2 linked regions of the Saccharomyces cerevisiae S288C genome follow. The gene in region 1 interacts genetically with each later gene. Each region holds a gene or a part of one and is shown on either strand. Other genes may lie near its edges.

Region 1 (5,230 bases):
TTTCTTTTTTTCCTGTCTAGATGAGAATCGTTGGTTTCAGTTTCACTTGGGTTCTCTTCCGCTTCCATTTTTATTTTATTTACTAGATGAGGTACAGCATTCAACGACGGAAACTTTCTAGTCAACCACGTGAGTCCGCCCAGTCTTCTGCCTTTATTTGCAGTCATGACTAGAAACAACGTTTGCCAAAATAAGGAATCATCATCCAAGTTCTCCTGCAGAGTCTCAATGAGTTTTAAAGTTAAAGGTAAAAAATCGTTGCTTTCATCATCAATTCCTGGCAATAAACTAGAAATCAAAGGTCTGATGAGCAGTCTTAACGTTGTTTGAGGCAACAGAAGGATATAGTTATCGTAAAGCTCTATCAAATGTGACCTAACAGACATAGAGGCATAAGTCATCAAAGGTAAAATTCCCGGGATCCAAATGTTACATTCTGTAGCCAGAGTTTCAAGGCCAATATGTTCAAAGATATACGTATATACTTCTAAAGTTTTCTGATGAACACCTGCTGGTAACGCCGGCGATAATGAGGATGTCAATCTTCGACTTACTTGATATGGAGAAGGAACATAGTACCTTACATTCTGAAATTTAGGTGACCAGCTTTGCAACGCCTTTAATAGTGTTCCCAAACTAGCAATATAGTCCGCCCATTCTGTTACAGAGTCAAATCTTTCTAATGCTCGCTCGACATTAGCACGAAACTTCTTCTGTTTGGAGTCTAGTTGTTTATTATTTGAGTCAATTGTAAGGGGCTTTAGTGGTAAGGACATTTTTTGTCGATCCTCTCAGAAAAAGCTGCTCTGTCGGCTTTTTATTTCACCGTTATAAACATAATTGGGAGGCTTGAGTTTTATATTAGGTATTGCTATTGTTCCTTTTCCAGTGAGATCGAAGCTTAGCCTTTGAAAAAACCAAAATCACTTTTGATCACGTGCCTCGGGTGGAACGCCCAGCAAATATATAAGTATGTCGTTTATTAATAAAACGGTAATCGGACTCTAAATATTCCTTCTTTCAGCACTCGCTTATGTCGTTATAAAAACTTGATTAATTTGAGTAATTAGCAGTTTTTGCCGTAGGTATGTTTTTAGAATGTTCTTTTGCACAGTCAGAAGCGTTGTTACCCATAATTTCGTGTTGAGAATATTAAATAATTACGTAAATGATCTGCCAAATGCTGACAATGATTGAAAAATAATTTTAAAGTTTAAATAATGCAAAAAATTTGTGTAAAAAGAATATGTGTCAACCTAAGCCGTTCCATACAAATAAATTTCCATCCCATGCAGTTGAAGCCACATATCCTGGCTTTCCCCACAAGCTCCAGTCAGCTCCAAATACGAATTCTGAATGCTGTGTGAAATTGAAAATGGAACCTTTAGTAGCATCCGTAGAGTTAGTTTTATATGTTTCTTTTGCACCATCGTTGCTGAGATCTCTCCATATTCGACAGGTCATATCATATGAAGCTGACATTAAAATATTGGAATGATGAGGGGACCAGGTAACTTTTCTGATTGCCAGCCCGTGCGCATTAGGGATTTCATTGATGCATGATGAATTGTGAAGTTGGCCGGGCACAGTCCTCTTGATAGTCGCTGATTCATTTTTATTTAGCATCCTAATGTCCCAGATTCTAATGGCATTATCTACACCTCCTGTGGCAACTACATAAGGTCTGTATTTGTTGAAATCGCAAGTCAATGCTTCTAGTCCTGAATGCACTAAAAAATTATTCTGATTTTTGCCGGAAGGTAGTCTAATGTCAAATAAGCTTGCATAAGAATTCCCTGAACAGGATAATACGAGATTTTGGTCGTGGGGCGAGAACTGTGCTTGGTATACACAGTTCCTGTTTTTTGAAATACCTGTAAAGCTTTTCTTTTTCAATATAATGGCGTTTAATGGATCCACCATTTTGGTAATCTCTAAAGGTCGTGGAGTAAGGGTCATTAAACTTTGCTTTCTTAGAGGGGACCATATTTTTATAGATCCATCCCATGAACTACTTAAGAAATTCTGCCTGTTGACTAAGTTCCAATTACAACTGAATACTTCTCGTTCATGCTCTTTAAATATAGCAATAGGAAACTCTTTAAAGGTTGTATCAAACAAGCGTAATGTACCATCGCCCTGTGCAACCAACACTTGGTTTTCATGACTTTCGTTCCATGCAAGATCAAATAAACAATCCTGTGTTAAAAAGGAATTAACTTCCACTATTCTACCTGAACGATCAATCTCAAGGATGAACAATTTTCCATTCCCAACCAGGCCAAAGTTTGAACCAGCAGCTACCGCGAGCCTGTTATCGAAAAAGGGAGAATACTGGACACCGTACCCACTAAAACCTTGCATATGATATCTGAGCATGTTGTATAAATTATGCAAAAAGTTAGATGATAGTCCGTTAACAATATGAGATCTCTGCACTTTTCGAGCGTCGAATTCCAAATCAGAAAGAAAACGATTTCGACCTCCGGTAAAAGATTTTATGGTAAGAAAACACAGTTTGTGTTCCACAGTTCTTAAAAGTGTTTTCACCTTTTACTGTTTTGCGAAACGACTTTTCAGAGGAGGTTATGTCGGTGGTTTAATTTCTCGGCCTTCATATTTACTTGCTGGAGACATGCAAATTTCTGATTAACAATGATTATAGAACTTTAAGTAGAAGTAAAGAAAAATAAGTATATGATATATATATATAAAGATGCAGATAAAAAAAAGGTAAAAGGAGTAGAAAATAATGTCTGAAAATGGATGACTGCCAATAGGACATATTTTCATATTAACATACTTCAGAAGCGGTATTGTTTATTGTGATGATCGTTGCTCATTGTTATCATTAGGGACGTCGTTATGAATGGTGGTGTCCGAACTGCTTGAACCTTGGCCTTGAGAGGGATTTTCGTCTGTAGGAGGAAAGGCAGCAGAATTGTTGTTGCGTAGTTCGACGGTAGTAACATCACCATTTTGATTTCTATAACTGGCAACACCGGAGGAAAACAAGTTATTTCTGTTGTTCTCACCAGTACTTCCACCTCGTTGTTGATCATTGCTATGGTTATTGTCGTTATTGTTGTCTCTTGAGCCATTCGTAAAATGGCCTGTTAATCGTGAAATATTTTCCAAAAAGGAACTTCCTTGCGTTGTATCAGAGGACGATGAGTCATTACGTCCTTGGTTGTGAACAGTTTGTGCTCCGGGTGCTGTTGTTGCAGAGGTATCAGAAGTTCCCCTCTGAGCAACGTTGAATATGTGATCCAAAACGGCTCTTAGTCTGTTGTGGTGAGGGTCTGTAGCGTCACTACTAGTGTTATTTGAGTTTGGACCGTTCGCTGCTGATGGGCTTGCCGAAGAATCAGAAGCGGAAGGATTCGGATTTGGACTGTGGAATTGGAACAAAGTCAAAGGGATGGGAACCCAGCGCGGACTTTGATTGTTATTCGAACCACCAGAATTAGAGGGTGGATTTTGAGTAGTTGAGCTCGGCCCGTTGACACCGTTTCTATCGCTATCATTAGGCGGTAAACGGACTGGATTGTGTAAAGGTTGGCCGTTTTGAGGCACTAAAAAAAAGCCTGTTCTTGATAACATCTGTTCGCCAGAACTTGCATTTCCGATAGTGGGAACCGTTGTATTGGACGTGTTTTCGGATGGGGCGGAACTATTTTCGTTAGTGCTATTCACTGCAGTTGGGTCGTATAAAACTCGTCTAATACGTTCAAAAGCAGCTTCGTTAGCTGCTACTTCATCCGTATCTTGTTGGGCTGCACGTTGAACACCTACAGATTCGCTGATCTTTTGTCTACAAAGGGGACAAGAATTTTCTAATCTTGACCATTTGTAGATACATTCCCTCCCAAAAATGTGGCCACAAGGTAACTTGATTGGTGAGTGTTTGTAGCTTGGATTTGTTTCTTCATCATTGAGAGTGCGTTGTTGTTCAGTGAGAGGAATAGAAGGCGGTTCAACAACCGTAGCATTTGTAATCGATGGGTTACTGTCATTATCGGCGGTTGTGCGTAGGGGCGCACCTTCATTATCCTTCCTTTTTTTTGTTCCTTCAGATTCCTCCTCATTTTCAGAATCCCTTTTTCTTTTTGCTTTAGTTGAATCAACTTCATCTTCATATTCGTCATAACATATACTACATAAGGGCCCTTCGGCCTTGGGTAGATCAGAAACTTGCAGAACGGGGAGCTTATCAAACTCATCCTTTGATATTCCTTTTGGTCTATTTAATAGTCTGTTGAATCTCTCCATTGCAAGCTGAGCAGCAACAGATATGAAGCTGTTCAAACGGTCTTGTGGAGTAGACGCAGGAACATCACGAAAAGATAAAACAAGAGCACCGTCGGGTTGATGGCCCCCATTTCCGATGCCAAAGCTGGGCCCAGTACCGTTGGCAATCGTGCTACCGGATGCTGCGCTGTTGTTTTCGTTATTATCATTATTAGATATATTGCTCAAATGTGCTAATCTCTCCGGAGTGAAATAGGAATACTGAATGGAAACGGTTATGTTTCTTGTTTGCTCAGCACCACCATTGAGTGGACCGGAAGCTGCATTTGAATTATTATTATTTTCAGCATTATTTGGTGATGTATTTGTGCCTCTGTTTTGTTCTTGACCACTTTCACTCATAATGAACAAAAGCTGAGGTTACAAGACTATGAGAGAAAACAAAGGGGAAAAAAGGGAGAAACGAACTATCCTGAAATGCTAAATAATTTCTATCTATAGTAGCTTCACTAGAGGATATATATGATAAACTATATTTCCTTCAATATATAGTTTTTAGCTATTATTTCATTATTGATTTGGTGATACTAATGCAATGTAGTTATATGTAAAAAATTCTTTCATATTTTTTGACAATGGCAGATAGAATGTTTTACCCGGCTTTTTGCGTCGAAGTATATAATTGTTGATTAAGAAGCCAGTAACAATAAAAAAGAACAGTATTATTTATTTTACGTTAAAAGACGCTTTTCTTTCAAGTAATGTACAATGTTATACCTCCAGATATACATTGCAACTTTTAAAGTCTAGTAAATGCTTATATGGAGGGAGGGATTTATCAAATGTGATGAAAAATAGCTGTAATGAACCTGGCGAAAAATGGAGGATTCAGATTGTGTCCTCCGTTTTCTTTTCTCGTAGATGAACTTGAGGTGGGAGATAACATTCCTGTTGAGGAAGTACTTGAGGTAGATTTTGA
Region 2 (4,893 bases), on another chromosome or scaffold:
AAACAGCAGCTTACAGGATCTTTTATAATATCACCATAGAAAGGGGAATTTGGGAAGCGAGAGTAAAATGTTGAATAGTTCAAGAAAATATGCTTGTCGTTCCCTATTCAGACAAGCGAACGTCTCAATAAAAGGACTCTTTTATAATGGAGGCGCATATCGAAGAGGGTTTTCAACGGGATGTTGTTTGAGGAGTGATAACAAGGAAAGCCCAAGTGCAAGACAACCACTAGATAGGCTACAACTAGGTGATGAAATCAATGAACCAGAGCCTATTAGAACCAGGTTTTTTCAATTTTCCAGATGGAAGGCCACCATTGCTCTATTGTTGCTAAGTGGTGGGACGTATGCCTATTTATCAAGAAAAAGACGCTTGCTAGAAACTGAAAAGGAAGCAGATGCTAACAGAGCTTACGGTTCAGTAGCACTTGGCGGTCCTTTCAATTTAACAGATTTTAATGGTAAGCCTTTCACTGAGGAGAATTTGAAGGGTAAGTTTTCCATTTTATACTTTGGATTCAGTCATTGCCCCGACATTTGTCCAGAAGAGCTTGACAGATTAACGTATTGGATTTCTGAATTAGATGATAAAGACCATATAAAGATACAGCCATTGTTTATCTCATGTGATCCTGCAAGAGATACACCGGATGTCTTGAAAGAGTACTTAAGCGATTTTCACCCAGCTATCATTGGTTTAACCGGTACGTACGACCAAGTGAAAAGCGTATGCAAAAAATACAAGGTATATTTTTCAACTCCACGTGATGTCAAGCCCAACCAGGATTACTTAGTGGACCATTCGATATTTTTCTATTTGATCGACCCTGAAGGACAGTTTATCGATGCGTTGGGAAGAAACTACGATGAGCAATCTGGTCTCGAAAAGATTCGTGAACAAATTCAGGCGTATGTGCCAAAGGAAGAACGGGAGCGTAGGTCAAAAAAATGGTACTCTTTTATCTTCAATTGAGCAAAAAAAAAAAGAAAAAGACACAGCTAGGATACCGAACTTATGGGTCGTTCAATTTAACAGTTACATTGTAAATAGAAAAAAATAGTAAAAAAAATGAAAGTCAAATGATTATGCTTGTCAGTTCAAATTATTAATTGGGCTTAAGGGCGTAAACATGCGGGAATAATAAACATACATACACACATACATAAAATCCGATGCCATCCACTCGCGAGATTGCTTTTTTCCTTTCGTTTCTCTTTCAAGAAAATCATGTTGAAAATTTCTATGATGATATATAGTAGGGAACTAAACCAAATAAAGAAAAGTCAACTTTAGTGCACGAAATCAATTCTTACCAGCACCAGCTCTGAAGTAAATGATATCACCGTCTTCAACGACATAGTCTTTACCCTTTTGCATCAACTTACCAGCGGCCTTGATGGCAGAATCGTCCTTATATTCGAAGACATCTTCACATTTCATAACTTGAGCCAAAATAAAGGTATTCATTAAATCGTTATGAATAACACCAGCAGCTTGTGGAGCTTTAGTACCTCTTCTGATGGTCCATTCACGAACTTCATCTGGACCGCAGGTGAAAAAGGAAATCAAATCTAACTTTTGTCTCATGGTAGTGATAATCTTTGGCAAGGCAGATATTGTCTGCAGTTTCTTCAATTCTTCTTCAGCATCTTCTGGGGACATATGAGATAGTCTTTCTTCTAGAGAAACACTGAATGGAATGATCAAGTCACCTGGAGAGTACTTGTCTACCCATTCCTTGATTCTTAGCAGATGCTTGTTTTTCTTTCTGATGTAATCTCTTTCAGATAAATTAATCAAATAGATACATGGCTTAGCAGTCAACAAGAACATGGAGTTGATAATTTCAACTTCTTTTGAAGTCCAGGAGTGATTAGCAACTCTTTGACCACTCTCTAGCAATTTAATGATTTTCGTAATCAAATCCATTTCTTCCTTCTTTTGTTTGACTTCCAAAGATTGACCACCTCTTTTGGCAATCTTTTCAGCACCTTCCAAAGCCTTTTGTGCGAATTCAATATCTTTCAATCTTAGTTCTTGGTTAATAATTTCTAAATCACGAACTGGATCAACGTCACCCTCAACGTGGATAATTTCAGCATCATCGAAACAACGAACGACTTGGTAGATAGAATCGACTGATCTGATGTGAGACAAGAAAGCATTACCCAAACCTTCACCAGCAGAGGCACCCTTAGTCAAACCAGCAATATCGTAAACGGTCAAATGAGCTGGAACTTCCGAAGCTGTCTTCTTGTAGATTTCACACAACTTATCAAATCTTGGAGATGGGACAATAACACGGGCTTCTTCTGGATCAATGGTAGCGAATGGATAGTTAGCTGGGTTACCCAATGGACATCTAGTGATGGCTTGGAAAAAGGTAGACTTACCAACATTGGCCAAACCGACAATACCGGCTTTCAAGTTATTACCTGGACGACCCAATAAGACCTTTTTTTCTTCGACTTGCTTCTTTGGAGGCATGTTTTACAGTGCTATTTATTTGATTGTTTTTACGGATACTAGAAGTAACACAAAAAGCTAAAAAAGGCAAAATGCAATAAAAAATTAGTACTAATTATCAACTGAATACACTACTAAATACGATTTCTCGCAACGAAAGGTATGAGAGAGAAGACGTAAGTTGACTTTCACTGCATCCTTCCTTTTGGGTCATAAAATCGCTGGGATGGCCCTTGAAAAAATTTTTTCAGTGAAAAAAAAAAGAATTTTCGAGAAAAAAAAAAAATTAGGAATTGTGCGTGGTCATTCAATACGGAGAATTAAGTAACACGCAACAACTGCATTCTGCCTTAGTTGTCTCAAGGCAAATTGGCACCAACAATATGAACTTGTTGTAAAGCTCAACTCCAAAGAAGGGAAACTACTCAGATTTGTTTTCTTCAGTTTAACAGGCGTATCTTCTGCAAATCTACTACGTTTCCTACCGAAGACTTCGCTCTACGAGAATTCTTAGGTTTCTACGAGTTACGCGCCCTTCTTCGAACGCCATTCTCAGGAAAAATTGCATTTACGTAATCTTTTGTTCTAATTGATATAATGGCTATTTATACGTAATATCATGCTTAAGAACCAAGAAAGCCAATAATGGCATTCGGAGGAAGCAATCAGTGAGGAAAATTGTTGATTAAGCTAGATATTTCTATATCTAGTAGATCTTGTCAAGTTGAAGTAGCGAATAGGACTCCTGTATTGCTATTGTGATGTTTTTTTATTGTACAGTAGTTGTATAACTTATCGTTGGTATTAACTACCGTTTGTTTATACATCATGCTCATTATCTCGTCCTGACTAATGTGAAAGGATCGATATATACATTGAAGGGTCGACGTCCCCTTTTATTAGCTCCTACAAAGATAGCACTGGCATATATTTTTTAATGTCTTGGTATATATTATATAGCAACTATACTCGATGTCATAAAGAGGAATACTATCTTTGGTGGTTGTCTAACTCTGAGCAATGCTAAGGCCCTTACCATTCTAAAACAACCATTTTTTTCTTCCCCTTCCCAGTTATACCTTTTTTGACTAGTTCTAGTAACTGTTCGTCAGTAGTAGTGTTAGTATTCCAGGTAAGAGTTTCAATTTCATCTCTTGGTGAAATAATGTGACCATAATTATACATTTTGATAAAATCACTGATGGTGTCAATCTTGCTTTGGGGGTTTTTTTTGTTCTTTTCAGTCACCCAGTACCCTTTGGATGTCAAGCCTTTGAAAATGTGTAGAGATGTTGGTAAAGTTACAGGTTGTTTTGACATTCCTCCATAAGTGAGCATCAAAGCATTATTTTCCAACTTACGTGCTATTGATGCACTGGATTTACCTCCAACAGAATTCAAGGCAAGCCTCACCCTTGCATTTTCACCCAAAATCTTGGACAATACTTCTTTGGCAAAAGTCTTGTCGTTGTTTTGCGATTCGGAAATAACCTTCGTAGCACCATACTTATCCTCCAAAACTTTTGCTACCTCATCAAAATTATCACGGTCACGTATAACACTTAATGTTTTGATCCCTTTAGCTTTTGCTACTTGCGTAACTATTTTTGATACACTAGATGTACCGGCATTTTGGATAATCCATTCATTACCGTTACTGTTCCAGTCGATATAGTCTGATACTAATTGGAAACCGGTACAACCATTAACAGATACAGTTGCCGCAGAAAACAGATCCAAATCATTTACCTTGATTAAATCAGAACTACTAGAGAAAACTCTATAATTGGACCAAGTCCCTTGATTTGCCTGCAATGGGATAACTCGGTCACCCAATTTCAAATCTCCCTTGGAACTTCCCGAAGGTAAAGAAACAACTTCAAAGACACCCTCATTACCGGCGATAGCGGCTGGCTCATCTGTGGAGTAATCGTATGTCTTTTCTGGACGAGACGGGTATACTCCTTGCAACTGATTGATATCCGAAGGGTTTATGGGAAAGGCCAAAGTTTTTAACACAATTGATTGAGATAAGTCTTGTTTAGGCGTATAATTTTTCACTGACAAAACCTTGGTACAATCCTCAACTTCATGAGTTGAATAGATGAGCGATTTGAAGTGCTTGGGAATCTGATGAGCTGAGGACGACATGTAACGTTTGAATGTGGGAAGCATCTTGTTATATCAAATGTAATTGGCAGATTATGAACCTTCTTAAATGACAATGTACGTTTGTAATCTCCAATTTCTTTAGCCATGGAAACAACCCCTGGGTACACCACTCGTGCGTCCCTTGGAGGAGAACCACTCTTTTAAGGTAAAAAAAAAAGCACCGGCGGGGTCCAATAATGATAATAATACCATAAATAAGGAAGATGGTATCACCGATTGGTCCAGAAGTATTATCCATACAGTTGTTTTTAATA

The links. Genes that interact genetically often act in the same process or in processes that back each other up.
Region 2: mutations in PEX7 (region 1) and OLA1 together harm fitness less than expected from each alone (positive genetic interaction), as found in Saccharomyces cerevisiae (one large-scale study listed by BioGRID).

The regions. Positions count from the first base shown.
Region 1 is NC_001136.10:739,222-744,451, forward strand, and holds PEX7 (Pex7p), read right to left. Parts: upstream 2,380-5,230; coding exon 1,252-2,379; downstream 1-1,251. Other genes in the region: DOP1 (Dop1p), read right to left, coding at 1-776; ubiquitin-protein ligase SAN1, read right to left, coding at 2,821-4,653; MKC7 (aspartyl protease), read right to left, coding at 5,090-5,230. UniProt on the Saccharomyces cerevisiae protein: Receptor required for the peroxisomal import of proteins containing a C-terminal PTS2-type peroxisomal targeting signal, such as 3-oxoacyl-CoA thiolase. Specifically binds to cargo proteins containing a PTS2 peroxisomal targeting signal in the cytosol.
Region 2 is NC_001134.8:289,378-294,270, forward strand, and holds OLA1 (Obg-like ATPase), read right to left. Parts: upstream 2,489-4,893; coding exon 1,304-2,488; downstream 1-1,303. Other genes in the region: putative thioredoxin peroxidase SCO2, read left to right, coding at 68-973; ETR1 (enoyl-[acyl-carrier-protein] reductase), read right to left, coding at 3,500-4,642; YBR027C (uncharacterized protein), read right to left, coding at 4,647-4,893. UniProt on the Saccharomyces cerevisiae protein: Hydrolyzes ATP, and can also hydrolyze GTP with lower efficiency. Has lower affinity for GTP.